Linked DNA regions of Drosophila melanogaster. Changing the gene in region 1 together with any one later gene gives a genetic interaction. Each region holds a gene or a part of one and is shown on either strand. Other genes may lie near its edges. The genes, in order: exex and Oli.

The links.
Region 2: of exex (region 1) and Oli, changing one enhances a phenotype caused by changing the other (phenotypic enhancement), as found in Drosophila melanogaster (one study listed by BioGRID).

The regions. Positions count from the first base shown.
Region 1 is NT_037436.4:7,944,011-7,955,080, forward strand, and holds exex (extra-extra), read left to right. Parts: upstream 1-4,175; 5' UTR 4,176-4,355; coding exon 4,356-5,275; intron 5,276-6,140; coding exon 6,141-6,411; intron 6,412-6,546; coding exon 6,547-6,933; 3' UTR 6,934-7,553; downstream 7,554-11,070. Other genes in the region: CG43880 (uncharacterized protein), read right to left, coding at 1,732-1,982, 2,037-2,274.
Region 2 is NT_033779.5:17,584,661-17,594,317, forward strand, and holds Oli (olig family), read left to right. Parts: upstream 1-4,523; 5' UTR 4,524-4,919; exon of another isoform or gene 4,920-5,551; 5' UTR 5,552-5,579; coding exon 5,580-6,151; intron 6,152-6,211; coding exon 6,212-6,338; 3' UTR 6,339-6,607; downstream 6,608-9,657. Other genes in the region: CG6870 (uncharacterized protein), read right to left, coding at 7,038-7,451; Sytalpha (synaptotagmin alpha), read left to right, coding at 7,664-7,673.

The DNA.
Region 1 (11,070 bases):
GACCGAAAATCATTGATTACTATCAAACGGCCCTAAAACCTTAAAGCGCTAATCTTTGCCGAGCGGAAACTAAATTGTATTCTAACGTAGTCTAATGAAAATAATAATTTGCAATCGTTCAGTAAACAATTTCCTCTCTAAGCCCCACACCAAGGATTATCAGTGGTGGCGGTATTATCTCATTAATGATTCCCATAATTCTGATACCAATTAAAAATAATAAAGAAATACGAGGAAGGGGAAAAGCTGAAATGAGTTTATCAGTTTTTAATAAGTTTGCTTCGTTGGCGAGCCAATAACAAAAGCAAATCAATTCGCGCACTTAATGAAAAAACACAACTCAATTATAAACTTTATCAGCGGTATTTGGGGCGGAGTTTTTGGGGTGGGCTCTCTTTCCTGGACTCGCAGTCATTTAAAAGTCATTTTCTCAATGCAAAAATTCCATTGAAAATTGTGTGTATATAAATGAAATTAACTTTTGCATTGCCATATTAAAAAATATTTATTTCACTTCGTCTGTGTACTTACGTTGATTTACAATGACGTGTTTGTTTCGTTAAGCATGATAAAACGGAAAAATTATGGAAAAATCAGCAGTTAAGTTCCACGAGTTTGTAAATTAGTTGGGAAACATTCAATTTGCAATCGAAAATTAAACATTTTAATTTACCTCCTTAGAAAATGTGGCAATCATTTGGTAATCATTGGGGTCACAACAATGAACCGTTTCTGGGTTTGTTTAAAACATTGCACGAAAAGAAGAAAATCCAAGCCAAACTGTGGGTGGGTGGAATAAAAATGCAAATAATAAATATCAAAGTGCAGTAATAATTTGCATTCACACACTTGTATAGTGAACTCGCTGTGCCCACAACTCTGTCAACATAATGAGCCAGCCAATTGGAATGGCAGGCACTTTGTAGATACAACTGGACGAAGTAGCCGTATCTGTGTATCTTTGTAGCTGCTGAAATGTAAAAATTATTTATTGATAACGCAATTTAATGCCAATTATTTGCACATCAATATTTGCTCAATTATCAACTGCAATTCACTTGGGGTGCGGTTGTGATGTTGTGATTAATGAGCAACTCCAATGATGATCATGATGATGAAGGGTGCCGTGGTTTGTTTTTCACTTTTTTGCGGTTATTGTTTAAGAAATGTTTTGAAAAACCTTTCCACTTTTTGATGTATCTATAAAGGGGGATAGAAAACAAGTGCCAAAGTCAACTCAATCAACCCTCCGCCTTCATCCCTTTTTGCCAACCTTGCAACTTCTGTTTACTTAGCTAACTAAGGCGCTGGAAATCTGTTGAAATTTTCTGGCATTATTGTTCACTTATCGGCTGAATTAACACGACGACGTAAAGGGAGAAATGCCAGGTTCAGGATATGTGCTACCCATCTCTTTCATACTCGGTTCATCCCTCTCTTTCATTTCTATATGTTGACCGCATCAGCTAAATTGCAGCAGCATATGTGACGATTTATTTTTATTGTTGATTTCTATTAGTGATATTTGCTGGCAAATTTAACGCCTGATTAGCCTAATATGTCAGAAAAATTCATCATTGATCCAAAACAGAATTTATGGGGTTGCTACTGCAATTTGATGGCAGTATTTTTGGATTGATTTTCCATTGAAAAAAAGATTTCTTTTGATTGGCTGTTCCCCGTATTTTGTGTTTCGTGCTTTAAAAAAATTGATTTAAATATTTATTTGGCTTACAAAAGTAGTAATGTGCATATTAATGTCGATAAGACTATCAAATTTGATATCCTATGATTAGTGGCCTTGTTATCTTCGTCTACAAACCAATTTCCGCAGGGACATGTCTTATTTTCCATCAACGATGACCAAATCGCCCGACTGCACATATGACAACGTACATTATTCTCAATATCTGCACCTTTTCTTTTGAGCTTTTGGCATCCCATTTCCGGTGACCAGAAACAGCAATACCCGAGTATTGGCCCTATAAATTGGGAACTAGTAAGTGATATGAAAGTATTATGGCTAAGCTACTCACTTTCTTTTACAAAACCCATTCCGGCTGGCAGGCAAGTCTGTAGAAATGGCGGTAATTTGGACGAATTTACATGAGGATCCAACTTTAGGGCATCAATCTCGAATTCACAACTCCATCCGGTTGTGGTAACGTCGCAATCTCGGTTTATCTTCGAACAATTCGCACATTGCATTTTTTCATAGAAACTGTGGACGTTGGTAATATAAGCGGCTATAATCCAAAAAAGTTTCCCAAACATATCGGATACCAAATGTGTGTATTTCTTCAAGGACTGCTGGGTTTAAAAATTACATTTTTAAAATTTTAAAAATTAAATTTTTGGAATCAAAGTGCTAATATTTCCAATTAGCACTTAAGCTAACTTAAATCAAGTTTACCCATAACGCTACCTTTTCAACATTTTAACTCTAATTGCATATTTACGTAACCATTTCTCCCCAAAATCAAAATGGAATCAGATAAACAAAATGCGAACTAAAAACCGAAAACCAATCCAAAACCCCACACTTTCAACATAAAATCCCTCCACTTTCGAACCAACCAAAGGCCCCAATCTCATCCCTTTACCCTTCGACTCGCTCTATGTTTGTGTTGTTATATAAAATAAACTATTCCGGAATAACACAAATCATACGGGGGGCCAGAACAAACGAGGCTGGACCATTGCCAGGTCATGTTCCACGTTTCCCCCCCTTGTGCACCACCCATAAATGTTAGTTAACTGCACGTGGATGAGTAGATAAATATGGTATAATGAAAATAAAATAAGAACCAGATAGAAACTTGGTGGAGGGTACGCGGGGGGGCGATAGAAACAACAGCAATCAGTCGTCATTGCAGACATCGCACTAATTTTGAGTTAGTTGTTGGGAAAACATTTTCGGCTTGAGTTTGGGTTTTCCCGAAAATTGGGAGTGAGTCAGTCGGGCTTCATTTTTGTACGTGGGCAAGGAAAATATACTTTGGCACGTTTCTTGTTAGCGAACAGTTTGCTCCATTCCCTGGACTCACTTAACTCTTTTCCTGTCTGGACATTGCATTATATATGTATGTAGTACATATTATGGGTTCTATTTATTTGAGTTCCAAGGTCTGCTCCTTTTCAATTGCTTTGTCTTTCTGTCAGCTTAAAATTGGGAATTAGTTAAATATGTTTATCTTTAATATTAGATTAAAGTAAAGAGAAATCCCTTGTAAGGAGAAATCCGCCTATTTAATCTGCCCAATATCAAGTTATCAAGGTGAAAATCGATTGTATCTAAAATCGTAAGATAACGCCTATGTTAATGTATTCCATAGACTTCCATTCAATTTGATGTCCTTTGCTACCGCATTCAATTCATTTATAGCCACCCGCCATCTTCTTAACTCTGAGCCACTTGGCCAACCATTCATGTCCACTTAGTAATCCATCAAGGGAACATTAAAATCGTCTCATCTGGCTGAGCGTAGGTCGTAAAGAAAATGCATTATAGGGGCATTACGGCGGTAGCGCCAAACTGCCAACCGAGTTATAAAAGCGCCATGAAACGAGACGTTTATTGTTATCGAGATTATTGATTTCTGGCCGGGCTTAAAGCTGCCTTTTGGCCGTTTTGTGGATCGTGGATCGCTGCTCGTCGAGTGCCTTAATTGCTGGCCTAATCATCTGCCAGACTTCCTATAACCTATTGGCCCTCCTCCATACCACCACTCCCTTTGGCAGCCATTAAGGACCTTTCGAGCCTCCGAGCACTCCCACTTTCCACTCTCCACTCAAGTTGATTATGAAGATTCTTTCGTCTTTTGCCTGCTGAACTTGCTAGTTGCTCAACACTCCATAATGATGGCAATTATAGCCTCGTTTTTCCAACAATTTATATGAAATTTGCTGCTGCCAAGCTCACCCCCCTCTGTCCCTAGCCACTCTTTCTCACCAAAGCCACGCCCCTTCGATGGACATTTTCAGCCACTTAGCCACGCCCCATGCCATCAGGCTATCTCTGTCGCGCTTTCGTGTTAACTGCCAGATACTCCATCTTGAAAGCGGGTTTCCAGAGAGCGAGAGAGAGAAGCAGAGCGGTACTGATTGCACCACCGTTGCTGCTTCACACTGGCATTCCGTATCGCGTATATGATACCACGTTTGGCTACCAGCAGCGCACAGTCGTTAATGAGCGCTCGTCGAGTTCGCTTCGCAGGAAATCACAGCTCGCGTTCGCACGCGTGTTCGTAAAATCGTCGATTTCGAAACGTGTTGGAAAGTGTTTGGAAATTTTGAGAATATATACATATATTCGAAAGAGTATAGAAACTGAACTTTGGTGAACCGAGTGAAGCATGTCCAGTGCCCAAGTGTCGCAACAGCCGCCTCCACCGCCGCTGACCGCCAGCAGTAGCACCTCAATGCCGTCGCAATTGCTACTTAGCCACATTCAGCACCACAGCAGCAGTCTGCACCATCAGCGCAGTCATCAGCGATCATCGCCACCTGCCCAGGACTACGATCAGGGCAGCAATCAATCAACACTCTCGCCCAGATCCCAGATAACACCCAGTCCGCCGGCAGCCAGTCCCACGCATTCGGCGGCCACCACAGGATCACCAGTTAGCACCTATACACCGGCCTTGAGTCCCGGTGGTGCACAGGATAGCAGCCAAACGGAGAGTGGTCAGAGTTCACAGATGCCTCTACTAGTGGCTCCCATGCCCGTGGGCACTGGTCCGCCACATTCACATCCACCGCCGCCGCATCCTCGTCTCTATGTGGAGGGTTTCCCGCCACCGCATCATGTGCCACATCCACATCCCGCCCTGGGCACCTATCCTCTGCCACGACTGCCCCTTATGTTACCGGCAAATCCACCAGGTGTGCCATCGGGAGCGGCTGCACCACCGCCCGTCTCACCGCAACCCGCTGCCAATCACCTGAGCCACAGTGGAGCCACCATGGCCACAACCACACTCCTGCCACCCGCCCAAAGTCAGCCCAAGAAATCCTTCTGCATCGATGCTTTGCTGGCCAAGAGCCAACACCAGTCGGGTGAGCCACAGCCCATCATTGTGGATGATCGTCTGGCTGCCCTGCACTATGCCCGGGATCAGGCGGAACTCAATCATGCCTTTGTGACCGCCTCCAATGCGGCGGCAGCTGCTCAGGCGGCTGCCTCGGCCGCCGGCGGCATCAGCGAACAGGAGGCACTGCAGCGCATCCGGGACTCCAGGGAGTACGACTCACCCAGTCCCGACGGCATGTCGAGGTGAGTAAAGAAATTTGGGATGAGCATAACTATAAGGAAGATTTCAGAGGGGGTTTGAAAAGAAAAGCATATTAATAAGGCCTGAAAAACTTATTATGAGTGATCAAAAAATAGATAAAGTTTATTACTAATAACGTTACACTATAAAATGTTTTTAAAAAGGTAAAGGTAACTTGTTTATTATCACTATTACTTAATTTGTTTTAGTAATTAATTTATACTCATGATAAATTTCAATTGTTTATGAAACTATTCATTTGATTGTCTATACTATCTGTCCTGATAATTTAATTAGTCACTTATTACAAAGTCTTACCAATAGCTTTGGGTTAAATAATACAATTTTTCGCCTAATACGAACACTTGCCTCATATTATTACTCATATGCATTACTTTGCTTGCTAATACCCAGAATTTAAAAACGATTCGTATAAAAATGCAGCTCTTACCAAAAATCCCTCAACTTCTTGTTGAAATCCCTTGGCTGGCTACCAAACAAAACCGTGGCACTTGGTAAAAACCATTCTGAAAGCCAAAGCGAAGCCCCAGCGAAGCTCCAAAGCAGCTTTGCTGGCACTCGAAAATATGGCAATGAAAAATGTATTCAATTGGTCAATTCCAATTTGGTCATCAGCCACAGAGATTACGTATACGCCATGTGTCTGCCGTCACAAGTGTGTGAGTGGCTAATTTAAAGTGCGAATTGTGTACAAAGAAGCAAACAAATTAGAGGGAGGGCGGCGGTAATATTAATTGTTTTCAAAATGTGTCGCGTAATTTCGATTGTCGAAATCGATTGGTTAGATAATTCGCAATAAAGGGTGCCCCATTAAGTTTTTTCCCACAATTTTTTTTATTTTTGCAGATCAGAGTCGCCCACTTCGTCGCACCGCTCCAGTCCGCCCATCAGTCCCGGTTGTGAGGATCAGCAGCAGCCCCACGGTGCACTGCATCCCCAGCATCTGTCCATGCGCATGTCCGACTTCCACGACGAGTTCAAGAAGCCAATACCACCCCACAGTCCCATCAGACCCCAGGATTTTCCGCTCTACGCAGGAGGACATCCCTACCAGCTGCTGGCCCAAGGTGGATCCGCCTTCCACAGACCTCTGGATCCCTCAGGGAAACCCATTCCGGTAAGTAAAACATTAAATATATATCAATATTACAAAGTAACTATTGTAATAAAAATTTTAATACGAAATAGATCAATATATACAATACTATCATACAAATCATTTGCATCGTATTTTCCTTATTTATCCATGCAGATACCCATGGGTCATAATTTCATGCCGTCGCAGCTGCAATTCGAATTCCTGGCCCGCGCCGGAATGCTGCACCATCGAATTCCCGAACTGGCCGCCTATCCGCATCATGCGATTCTGGGCAAGACCAGGAGACCACGAACGGCCTTTACATCGCAGCAACTCCTCGAGCTGGAGAAGCAATTCAAGCAGAACAAGTATCTGAGTCGGCCCAAACGATTCGAGGTGGCCAGCGGTCTGATGCTGTCCGAGACGCAGGTGAAGATCTGGTTCCAGAATCGTCGGATGAAGTGGAAGCGCTCCAAGAAGGCGCAGCAGGAGGCCAAGGAGCGGGCAAAGGCCAACCAGCAGCAGCAGCAGCAGCAACAGACGCCCAGTGCCGCCAGTTAGGAGTTGTAGCAGTAAGGAGAAGCAGCCGGAGGATCTGTTGGATCTGGAGGAGTGGTCTCCAATCTAGTCATGCCGCGATCAAACCGCCGTCCCACCATTAAAACGAGACACCCTGTATTCTTGCCCCCAGTTTCATTCGCGCAATCGGTCTAAATCTTTTTTGGGTTTTTTGCACTTTGATTTCGCATTATTATTTTTATTTTGTGCCACAACAACTGGTCACTGTGTGATATATGTGTGTGTATATGTAAACAAGAAATATAAATTAAATTCATTACCCCCTTCTTTTTAGCCCCTTTATGTACATAAACATAAATCTAAATAGGAACACGAACATAAATAACAAAGTAAACATAAATCTAAACTAAATGAGTAATGCTTAAGTAAATAAATTACATTAAATGCGATTAGTTTAGTTGGTAATTTACAATTTGCTTGTGTAATTTGTGTAAATAATTGTAATTATGTAATTGTAGTATTTAATATTAACGAAAACAACAAGAGCCATTAAGAAAAATAACAAATATAAAGTGTATAATAACGCATTGCGATTGAATTAGTTAATTTTCTAGATTTTATTTTCGAAATCAAAATTGGAAAAAATAAATAACTAAAAATATAAGCTTACAAATTTTAATAATTGGGATAAATTAAGGAACACAAATGTGGCAAGGTAAGATATGACTTATAACAACTACTTTAAATAAAACTTAAATTAACTGGAAATCTACACGATTGACTTGCTGAGAACTATTCCACTTAATTCAAGAGAATTTGAAGAATTTTTGATAATACAACTAAAACCATAAACTAATTTTTGCCATAAAAAGCAAAGCAATGATTACGATTGCCAGAAAAATGTATGAAGCGAAATGCACTGAAAAATATCCCAAAGTAACAAGTAGAAATAAACATAATTTATATATATTCTAGCAAATATCTAATCTGACTGGCTTTGAGAGCTGTCTGTGGCTCGAATTTATAAATACACGACGGCCATAAAGAAAGAGCTATTAGCCACATATTCGTATACTACCAATCAAAATTCTACTCAATTTCTCGCCCTTGCGATAATGCCTATCGCAGCAAATAAATCAAAATGTGCGCAGATAATCAAGTTAATTGCTGAGACAATAATTATGACTAAATTTATAGTATCACTTCAAAATTATTTCGCTAATTAAAATGTAGCCAACTTCAGGCGAACAACGAACGCACTTCTTAGTTTCTTGGCTTGTTGATATCGATTTGGTTTATTTATTTTTTTTTTTGGCCTGCGAGTGTGGCAAATTGAAAAAATCATGGTGAGCTTCGATTTCCGGCAGAATAAGAGTCATATAAAGTGTTATTATCAGGCAATACCATACAATTGGTTGGAATACAATACAATACAAGTTTTTGATAACCGCTTGAATTCGGTTTAACGTTCATCAGCTACTGAAGTGATTGATAAGTATTTACATAAAATATAAATTATTATATATATATATATATATGTTTAGTTCTTATCAACGTAATTTTTAATGTAAGCTTCTTTTGAATCTTTTATCAAGCAATCAAATAATATATGATTTAGTTCCTTTATTACTATACATACCATTATCCTGCTCATTGAAGATGACATAAAGTGCGAACTCACTTGGTATTGTTCTAGCCACTTTCGATTGCATTTCCCATTTCCCATACCCAGTACCATTTCCATTCCCACTTCCATTCTGATGAAGAGAACTCGTCTGTCCACTTTATCACGTAATTCTCAAGTATTTCATAGACTCGCACACGACGGACTTTACGGGTTTTATCGACGCTGTTGGTTTGCCTTGAAGTATGCTTTATATTGTTATTATTGGTTGTTTGATCTGTTGCTGTTGTTGCCGTTATTGTTGTTATTATGCAGCAGTTTCTTGTTTTCTGACGGGCTAATAAAAATTCATTTCGTTCCTCTGCTTGCCACTAAACACGTAGCGCATTCTTGGCTGAGTAAATGAGTGGAGCACACATTTCTATAGAAGGGTACATATGTGTGGTACAGTGGGTAAATCGTATGAAAGGCATATACAGTTTTAACTCATATTTAAACTTATCTATCAGATATTAGCTACTCAACAAGAATTTCCAAATTGGGTTGGTTTCTATCCTTCGCTCAGCAGCTTTTCGACAGCTATACAACTTTACTGCTTAATATTTAGAGATCATAAATATAACATCTTTCTATAGTTTTGTAAACTATTTATTAGTTTATAAATATAATAAACACTCAAAAAAAAAAAAACATTACAAAAATATTTTTATATTGAGATTTTAAGCATCCTTCCTTAATTACTGATCCCTTGGCACCTTTCTGCCCCGAACTTGACCCACTGTGCACCCTGGGCTGCGGTTGCTGATGCTGCGCTTTATTTTGATTTGCCTTGAAGTGGCCAAATGTGTTGAACCAGAACACAATACAATTGAAAAGGGGAAAGGGGACGACGATTTTCCCCTAATTTCAATTCATTGAGCTATTAGCGGGTAATTTGCAGCAGGAGGAGTTTCAATGAAAAACCGGCGAGAGCATAAAAGGGTGACAAAGATCAAACCGTAGAACTGGAATTGTATTCGGGATGGATATTCCTGGATGCTGTCCTTCGGGATGCCTGCTGCTGATTGTCGCATCTGTTGCAAATTAAATTTGCGTTATAATTTCTATAAACACACAAGCGTTGAGTTGAGGAAGGCACACACCCAGAAAATCGACGATTGAATTGAGGGTTCACTTCCCGCTCCGCTGTCAAATGTTTCCCTCCTCGTCTGACTTTGTTGCTATTGTTGCTGGTGTTACAATTTGGTTATCCCCTGTTGGGCAACGTCATCAGATGCACTGAAAAAAAAAATAACTATCTGTTGTAGCTGGAAGGTATAATCTCTTCAAAAGTATTTAATTTGGCTTTAATGTTTTCTAACTATAATTCATACTTATTTTAATCAATATCAATTTCGCAAAAGTTGTCATACACTTATGTTGTATTGTTAAGTTATAAACTTATGTTGATTTATATATCAATACTACAGTTATATATTTTTCCTATTTTCTTCATAATTCGATAAATCCAACGTGCTTACTTTTCTCAGTGGATGACAACCCTCTTGGGTCGACTGGTATTTATCGTTCTAGTCCCGGGTTCCAATTTGATCTTCATGTCAACACAGATGATCACATTTTATGCTTAATTTTGTTATATGTGATGTTTGCTTAACTGATTTAGCGTCCATCCACTGCCCAGCCAACCCCTCTAATTTCTATAAATTGGCATTGGGTGCATTTTTACGCTAATATTCAATCGAATTTGCCTCGATTTTCGATTTTATTGTCAAATATGTGCGATTATTGTCATATGTTGGATTTTATTATTGTCAAATTTGCATTTGTCTGGGGATCGCGGCACATTGGGGTTGGGGCTACATAAGCGGTTATAGCTCGTTAGCCATCTAGCTAATGGCTGTTTACTCAGCCAGCTGGAGCGGGTGAACTGGAGCTGAAAGGATGGACAGGATGCGAGGGTCAGGATGCTGGTGGTGTCCTATTGATTGGCTTCGATTGCTATCACAATTGATGGGCGGCATTTTGTTTTTAATTGCTGCCGCGTTGGGCAAATCCCTTCTAATTGATGGGCAAAATGCATATGCGCACATTGGAGAGTTTTTTTTTAGAACCAACATGGTAATTTTCGGGCAGTTATTAGAAACCAACTATTACGCTATGGTAAGAACATGAGCTTTCTTTCCACTCAAAGAAACAAGAAACTTCAAATATTTAAAGCTCTTTTAGTTTGTACCCAAAAAAGTAGATATATACATCCAAAGAATCTTACCCTGATATCCTCTTAAAATAAGTAATGCACCCAAATCCCCATTCCTTTCAACCTGCTAAGCACTTTCTCCCCTCATTGCTCTGTTAAATTTGCTAATTAGCCCAACATAAGGTTTTCTAATTTCCTTTAACGCGGAGCAATATCAGCAACAGGGGGATGTACATACATATAGACGTGTGCATCTACGAGAAAACGGAGCCCGCAGTTGGTCCAAAAAGCAGACGAGCGAGCAACCCTCTCTTGGCCACCCCTTAACCCATGGCAGCCCAACTGGCCCCCCCCCCCA
Region 2 (9,657 bases), on another chromosome or scaffold:
AAATAGTATTAATTTGTATATAACATGCAAAAATATGGACTTGAAGACACCTGTAAATTGTTTTATTTAATGATTATGATTTATGATTTCTATTTGTGTAGTCCAGAGACCCTGAGGTGACTCAGCTGACATTTATCGAGCTGTACTTGGGCATTGTTGGGTCCATCCAGACTGCGTCTCCTCCTACTGATCCACCCACGGACCATCGTCCTTCGTCCTGTGCCCTCGGCCCTCGCATCAAAGTTGTGCCCTTTGTTTTCGCCTGGTTCCCGGTTGCGTGGTCCTTTCTGTGTCCTGTGCGTGGTGGTCCGGGCCTGCGATTTTTTTTGTGTTTTTGTTCCATCCTGTTTCTGCTTTTGGTGTTCGGTTTGGACTCGAGCTCTTCTTTTTCGACTTCCACACGGCCACCCTGCTCCCTTTTTGTTTGTGTAACATTCCATATCCATTTGCAACAACGCGCGCAAAACAACAAAAAAAAAGAGAAGCGAACAGAATAAAGAACCGAAGGGAAACCGACAAACAACCCCTTTTCCACCCTTGGGGGTGGTGCCGAATCCTCAGACTCGTCCTCCGCCCCAGCATCAGCAGCATTTTAATTCGAATTGGTATTGCTCCGGCACTGTTATTGTTGTTTTGTAGCTGGCTTACCACCCCAATCCCCTCTCTCTGGAAAAGTCCTGGGTTCAGGTTCACCCTCGCTGTTTGGTTTCCATTTGATGCTGATAAATTGTAAGTACGCCTGGGTGGGCAGCGGGGTGTTAAGGATTCGCACTGCGGAGGAAGTTGCATACATCGCATAATTTGATAAAATATTGCACGCTTCGCCCTTTGTCTGAAATTATTATTATTTCGCTTCTTTTTTTATTTTTGGTTGTACGCAGAGCGCATATGATGGGCATTAGATGTAATCAATAAGAGCTCGACGCAATCCATTCAGTTCGGCTAATGGATGAGAAATCCTATCAAAGTGGCGAAATCAAATTCTGTGCGTTACAGTTTCCTTTTTTCCGAGCCACGTTTTGTGTGCAAATCGGTAATAATTTAGAGTGTGATGGCTTTCACGGGAATTACATTAAAACAAAGCGAACCGCACAGTATTTTGGGATTTATTCCAAAGCGGTATACTTTTGTAGAACCTATACTAAGAATCTGTGGGTAACTTGCATCAATATGAACAATTAAAGATGAAAATCTGAGCAAGTTACGTCTAAGGTTAGAAAATCATGGACTTTTATCAATTTTTGCACACAAAGCCGACATCAAATCTTTCCTTTTCTGACATACCAATAAAACAAAATCTTCCAATTGCTTTTTGTATTTTGCCTTTGTTAGCTTAAATGGGCCAAGTTTATCTTGGCTTGAAGAACTTGCGGCAAATGGCAAATGGCGAAAGGGCATCAAGCCTGTCAAGCCGGAAATGAGCGATAAATATATCTTCATTCGCTTCTTATTTTGAACGCAAGTCGGCAGCGATTTCCCCAGCGTACAATTGGCACATTTTTTGTATTTCGTTGACGTCTGCCAATAAAAGTAACAAAATAAAATATGGCACTGCCAGGAGTGCGTTCGTGTGTGTGCGTGTGTGTGTGACTGTGGCCTGGGGATCGGAAGTGCTACCTTGAAAACGATACGCTGGGGAATCATTAGGCGAACCGTCATGGCTGCCATAAATATTGCCAATATAACGAAAGCACATCGATAATAAGGTTAGGAAGCCATGCTCGTATATCCAGGAATCAACTGAATCTCCGAAGAGAGGACAAGCCAGGGCGGAGGGCAGAAAAAGCCTCTTCATAAATGTGCCCAATTGGTTTTTCAACAATAAAATGCTAATGATTGATTCACATTGCCCCATGGAGTGCCGTTAGTTCGAGCCAAGGCCCCACAGAGCCAAGGATTCTATGGTTTTGTCTAATTTGCGCATACCCAAACATTAAATTGGGGTTTTCAGGCTTTTGCATTTGTAATTTTGCCTGACGAAAAAGTCAGGGTTGTAAGTTGTCTAAAGCTCGAATGAAAGATACCTTAAAACTAAAGTTCAAAAGCATTTTCCATGATATTTACTGTGATATATTAAAAAACTGCATTAATAGTTAAAAAGTACATTGAATAATTTAATAAAATTAGTTAACAGCGTCACAAAATGAATAGAGCCACTTATGTCCATACCCGCGGTGGCTTAGTTCGAGGGTCATCCATTAACCCATGACAACCCTTTGACGGATCACGAGGTACGAGCCAAAAAATCCCTGGGCTGGCCATTTACAATTGGTCCGCAGTGCGGAACCTAAGCTAATGATGACTGGCATGCACAAATGTACAAATCTTAATTATGCAAATCACGGTCGCGCATAAATTATGCAAATTATAATGAAATTCCTCATTGCCTTTGCCGGACCTGGGATCCGGGAACCCGGATACGGAACAGCGACAAATGCCCATATATATGTATATGGATTGATAAAAATGTGGCCATAAAATGAAAAAACCGAAAATTTAAATTTCGGCTGGCCCGGGGTTGAAAAGTCGAAATGATTGTGTTGGCCGTAGCTGAAGCGCCGTAAATTGCAATGTAAATGCTGCATATATAAACTGAATTAGTCCCAGAACAATTACAACAAGGGAGAGTGCACTGCGATTGCAAATATACCCGATTCCGATCCCGAGCCCGAAACCCAAAAAAAAAAAAAACTCTCACAATCACGCAGCAAATGGTGCATTGCCTAGAGGGGCTGTCCAGATTCCGGATTTCATTGAAAATAATGGCATACGGTGACTGCTGCCCCGAACATCTGACACAATAATTTTCCCTACGAAAGGAGGGAAGCGCAAACAAAGGCCAAATGGAAAAGTTGCCAGCGCAAATTATTAAATTTATCATGCGCGAAGTCATTAGGTCTGTCGCCCGTGCTCGTAGTTTGACTTATTCTAAGGACTAAACGACTGCAGGCAGCTCCACGCACACACACTCCGCCACTTATACATAAATGTCCTGCGAGGCCCGAAGTGTGGAAAGTCATTAGTGGGCATTGCAGTTGACAGGAGGATGGAGATGCTGGCTTTGGATAATAAACATCTGCTTTAGCTATGGAACTTGTAAAATAACAAAGTTTATAACTTTAAAAGAGGCATCTTCGAAAAATTATTTCAAATTTTGACTTAACAATTTACAAGTCGATAAAAAAAAGAATGTTCACAGATTTTTTCGATTAAATTTTATTATTAAAAAAATTCTCTATTGATTGATTTTAAATATTTATCAGAGCAGCACTAACAAAGAATCTTCATCGGACGACTTTTTAAAAAAATGTTTGATTTTCATGATAATTTTGTTAGGTTGTCATTTAAACAGCGGATTTCTAAATATTTCAAAAAATATTTCAATTGAAAAACACTCTTATAATACTCTTAATTGAAAAATGTGTCCTTTTATATTTAAATTAATAAAAATATACCCACACCCAAAGATTGCTTAAAACTAATAAATACAATCAAATAAATAAATATGTGGCCTAGATCTGCCTAGCACTTCCTATCATTTTCCATACCTTTTTCTAGCTTATGCCTTTGCCAACGAAAATATTTGGCATGTGCCATTTATGGCATTGTTCCAGCTTTGAACAATGCGATACCATAATTTCCAGGCAACTCGCAAACGCACAAACTCGCTCACGTAGAGAATGCCATGCAGATGCGGCATCCTCTGAGCTATGCTGTATATGGGCATATAGGCGAAATACTAGGATGCACGGGCTATGGACGGCTATTCGTGGTCCTTGTTCCTCGTTCAACCCCCTAGGACAGGAATCCAGGACTGGCCAGGCGGCCCAGGATCAGCAGGCAGTGAGCATGTGATTAGATTCAGTTTCAATGGAAATTGAAATCACAGACAAAGGAGCGGACCCGGCGGATTCAGGGTGCGAGGGGTGGTGATGGGCCATCAGGGTTGAAAAGGAGCGAAGCGATAAAAATCCTGAACAACAAGAAAAGTGAATTTTCGGACAGGCAGGGCAAAGGCATTAAAAACTTCATACACTTGTAAAAAATTTGACTGCACTAAATAATATTCAACAATTAAATGCAACTTTGAGAGATAACAAAAGTTTTTGGTTTTCGTTACAATCAAGTGTGGTTATAGTTAATTATTACTTAACCAATTGAAAAATGCAGACTTTTATTTAATATACAAAATAATGATTAATAATGAATAGATTATTAATTAGTATGATTTTATACCATTTTTAAATGCAAATATGTAATTGTTAACTTTTCAATAGCAGATTAGATTTATGTTAGAAATTATTATTATTTTGTGTAGGGTATATCTGATGCTATATGTTATGTTTCAAAAAGGTTTCGATCATTAGTAATCATTTTTTTTTCTTAGTGCTGAAACTGTGACTCATTCACCTTTGTGAGTATTGGTAATAATCGTGCTGTATGTATTGGTGTGGATGCTGCATTATGCGAAGCCCAACCACTAAACGTCAACCACCGGCGTCGACACCCGACCCACATTTTATATAGTGGCTCATAATATTCCTTCTGCAGAAAGAGATTAACACCAAACGGCGACGGTGGCGTCGGTGGCAAAAAGTTTATAATCATCCTCGCTGACAGAGCGAAAGAGACGGGCGATTGGAAAGCATAGGCGGAGGCAGGGAGAGAGAGAGAGAGAGTGAGCGGAGAAAATCGGAAAATCGTTATGCGACTACTATAACCCACCACAAAATCGCGGTCGTCTCTGTTGTTGCCGGGCACCTCACACTCGCGCATCGATTCCGATTGCGATTCAGGATCTGAATTTTTTGCCTGGTTTGTGGTGCGTGCGATTTTTAAAAATGTTTAAATCCGCAATTTCTTTCTCCGTGCTCTGTGCTCTTCGTCCCCTTCGTACACCGGCGAACTTGTGATTTGTGGTTAATTTAAATTAATAATCTTTTAAGTGTGTCATGAATTAACTGCAAGTTAAATAAAGTGCTGCGTCGATTTTGCATATTTTATAATCCATTTCGTTGGGTTAATAATTGCCAAATTTATTATTTATATATATTGACGTATAATTTTAAAGTTTATTGTTTTCTGAAGTGCTGCGCTCCTAAATAAATTTAATGCCGCTAAAATTGTATTCGCCATGAAACATCATATTAAACCATCCCTTAAATTGGACTACTACACAGCGCCACCTATGAAAAGCTTTGATAAGCTTATATTCATCTTGTTAATCTGACTACCGCGTAATATTTTGGCTTTGAATTTCCGAAAGGCTTAACGATTATTTTGCTTTAATTAAATTTAAGGAATACCTGACAGACGTTTGCAATTTGTTAAACCATTTCGGGTTAAAACACAAAACAGATGCTCCACCTATAAAAAGCTTTGCTAACCTATTAAATACATAAAATTCCGACAGATGGCGCTACCGAACAGCTGAGCATACGAGTATTCACCCCTATTTTTTAGTTTTCTTATGCAACCCTGCATCATAATAACTTTGATTTGCAAGGACTACCCTAAAAGATTACACATCCCTTCAACCTTTTTTTCACAGCTGGAAAAGTCCCATAAAATACAAAAAAATGGATCCCTCGAATCTTGCTTTTGGTTTTCCCGGTCTCCCCAACCACGGACACATGCCAATACCTCCTACAGCCAATATGCTTGGTGGCCAGCATCCAGCACCCACCGCCAGCCCACCACAAAGCGTCCCCGGCCGTCGGACGCCACTTGGATCGGTTGGTCTGGGTGGTTTCTATGCCCAGGGAATGGGCATGTCCCAGCAGCCACCGACGGATGAGAACAAACCAGGGCCCAGTGCTCCGGAGAAGCCATTGAGTCCCACGGCCGCCGCCATCGCAGCCATTGCCATCAGTGGTGGCACCACCACGGTGGCCGTGTCCAGTGGTGGCGCCAGCGGAAGTGGCTCCAACAGTGGCAAGCAGAAAAACCGCCAGGGAAAGACGGTAAGGCTGAACATAAATGCCCGGGAACGACGAAGGATGCACGATTTGAATGATGCCCTTGATGAGCTGAGAAGTGTGATTCCCTATGCCCATTCGCCTTCTGTGCGAAAGCTGTCGAAAATAGCCACCTTGCTGCTGGCTAAGAACTACATTCTGATGCAGCAAAATGCTCTCGAGGAGTTGAGAAGGTAACGTAGTTCATTACCACGCTCAATAGGAATTATTAACATATATGCTTTTACTTTTAGACTTTTGGCCTATATACAAAGCACCACGGGAGCAGCGCCACTGGATTTGGGTGCATTTCCGGCGGCTGCCAAGTTGCAGGCTCTTCTTCAAGGACCTCACAACGAACCACCGACTAGCAGCAGTTAAATAGGAGTGGGGGCCACCATAAACTATGGTTCAACTGATAAGCAATCCATTAATGAGCAATACTTTTAAGTCAATTGGAAAGCAAATGCCAAATACTTGTGTACTAGTCAGACGAAAGGAGGTTGATAAGGAGCCTCTTATCAGAGCAGCCAAGTGAAAATCTGTTCAGTGATATTTATTTTTGTCATAAGCATTTCTTATTTATGCATTTACCCAATGTCAACCAATATGTGTAAGATGAATATTACCGAATAAAGTATTATTGAAGTAGAAAGTATGTCGTTGGAAAAGGGTTTGGTCATTTAGGTTTACCCATCAGCACTGATAGAAGCCTGTCATTTTTCAGAATCATCAAACAAACAAACAAAATAAGAGTTTCAAATACTCAAACACGCCCAACCCAACCAACCATTTATAGTCATCAGATAACAAACATCAAAGAGCACAATCAAATTTAAAATAATATAATCTTAGATCCGTTTCAAGTCTTGGCAAAAATATTTAACATATAAATATACATACATAGTTGTCTGTATGGTTTTTGATGATTAAGCAAAAGCCGTTTAGCGGAATTCGAAATAAGCGGATTACAACTAGAAAACTAGTCGATGAATACTCTAAAAATATATATATATATAGACATATACGACATGGAGGACGGCGGCGAAGGCGATCGGTGCAAAATCGGCTGGCATTATATTATTCCGGTATGCCCAGGGACAAAACCTTGTTTTTGCCAGTGCGAAAAATGTGCTGCTTGGTGGGCAGTTGACCGATCAAGAAATCCTTCATCATTTCGATGGCATCCCCCGAGTGTCCTGTGCCATGGAAGGCGATGGTGGCATCTCGCCCTGCGTGATCCATAATGACGTCGTCGCCGCCGGGATGATCCCTTAGAAAGTGTGTCACATCGTAGACCCTATCGTAGATTACCACCCAGCAATCGTCGAAGCTGTCGTGCTGGGCCACCTCCTCCAATGCGATCTCCGGCAGATCTTCCAGTTTTAAACGTTCCTTTTTGCTTGGTACAACGACCACCTGATTACTGGACTTTCCATGTCCCAAGGGCACAATTCTCAGCGATTGCAAGAGGTTCGTCAACGCGGATGACATGTTGTAAGTATGCAATTACTTTCACTTTTACTAATATTTGATACAACGATTTGTAATGCCGCCCGATCACTTCAGACAGCCGGCAATCGATTCAAGTTGAGTTCTGCTTGGTCGGCTTCAGTTCCAGTTTTACTTGGGGTCTTGAGTGTCTTTCGTGTGCAGCCACCGGTACTGGAGTGTCATTCATGCCTTGGATTGTAATCGTTTTATAAATGACAACACGTGAGTCGATCGATGGAGCCGACAGCATGGTGATAAGACTTCGTGTCCAGAGAAGCGAAGCTCTTATAGATCGGTTTCTATATAATATATAATTATATATATATATATACATATATGTATGTTCAACCGAACTGGTTTGCATCTACATATGTTCATGGGAGGGCTAGGCATTGCACTGAGATTGCGAGATTTTGCAATAATGTTTTGTGGTCACTCGTACTCATATGAGTCAATTTCCGAATATGCTCGTAAAGACGAGCATAAATTATATATTTCTCTGTTAATCGGATTGCTCAGTGAGCTAATTACTTGCTACCTTATAAATTTAATGGGCCAGCAATTATTAAAAGGGAGACATTTAACGCGCCTATCAGCATTACAATTGATTTATTGGCACAAGTCAAACGTGCATCGGGCGAATCAATTACGTCTACTCGAACCGTTTGATCGCCAGTCATTAAGGCAATCAAAATAAATTTTGGGTTAATAGCCTGGAGTTATTTACTTTTAATACTTAAATGCGTTTTAAGTTTGCCAAAAATCACGATTTGTGTCAAGCCACGTTTGTTCTAAATTCTAATGGGAACAGAGATAATGACTTCAATATTATCGCTCACTACAACTTTGAACTTGAAATTGGAATGGATTCGGAAATTATGCCACGCTTTTGAACTATTTGAACCATGGGAATGATTTTAATTTTACATGGAGTGAGTACGTTTAATCAATAATTATTACGAAACTAAAGATCTGATGAAATTATTCAGACTATTTAATTTCCCATTTATTAAATTCCAGACAGAACGCCATTCACTAATTCTGTACATTGTATTGTATAAATAGAAAATATTGCAAAGCTAAGGAAATAGTTCAAACTACGCAATATAAAACATAAATATTATTCAAGTAAAAACAACAAGAAATTATTTCTAAATAATAACTTTTAAGACGTCACGATTCAATTGTTATTGATCATTTATTATTTTCAATTGAGTTCAAGTTTGATGTGTGGTTTTAACAAGATTTGGTAATCTAATATGCTAGCATCTCAGTGTTAAGATCAGCATTATCACGTTAAGTAATTAACCGCAAAAATATTCAAAGTCGTAACTGAACGAGCTCTTTAAATGGGCTAAACCATTTGACTTTGACTTTGAGGTTTACATGAACTAGGTGTATCCATATTAAATATCTATTGATGGTTAGAAAAAGCCTGCGAATAGCATTGCTAATAAAAGGCAGAATATATTTCAGTTCTAAGAGGTTATCATTCTAAGTGTGCGTGATTGCGTACATTTTTGAAAAAAACGCGAATCTTTCTTCGACAAGAATATTTGAATAATTGCCTAGTGTTATCAGAGTAGTCTAGAAATATGTAGGGGAAGAGATTATAATTTAGTTCTGGCGATTTTTTGCAAAAATGTTAAGATAAGGCTGAATAAGTACTAAGTACTTTCAAAACCATTGTCAAGTCCACGGACGGAATTAAAAGTGACTATTCATTGGTCTTTTCTTGTATTTGTATTTAAAGTTTATTAGCTATATCACTTCTAAAATAAGAATAAATCAAAGTTCAACGAAGTCCGAATATTATAAGTTATATTTTCTTTTTTACCATAATCAAATTTTGGCAAAACAGGGAAAAGAAGCAATACAAATATTTAAATAGATAACGACAAGAATTGCAATTCATTATAAATAAATACAATAAATATTTAAAAAGTATTATATAAATAAATCAACAGTCAGGATTATATGCATGTTTCTTAAGTAAACACAATGATTCTGAAAATAATATTATATGAGTCGTACAAATTTATATATTTCTTTTCATATATAGAAATAGGTGGCAACGCCCAATGTAACGGAAATGCTAAAAAGCTTCTTGAAAACATAAGCTTTTGGGAAAGGTTAACCGATTCGGATTTCGCGGGCTTTTTTCTAAAATTGGCCAGCTGTTGCTCTTTGGGAAGCTTTTGTATAA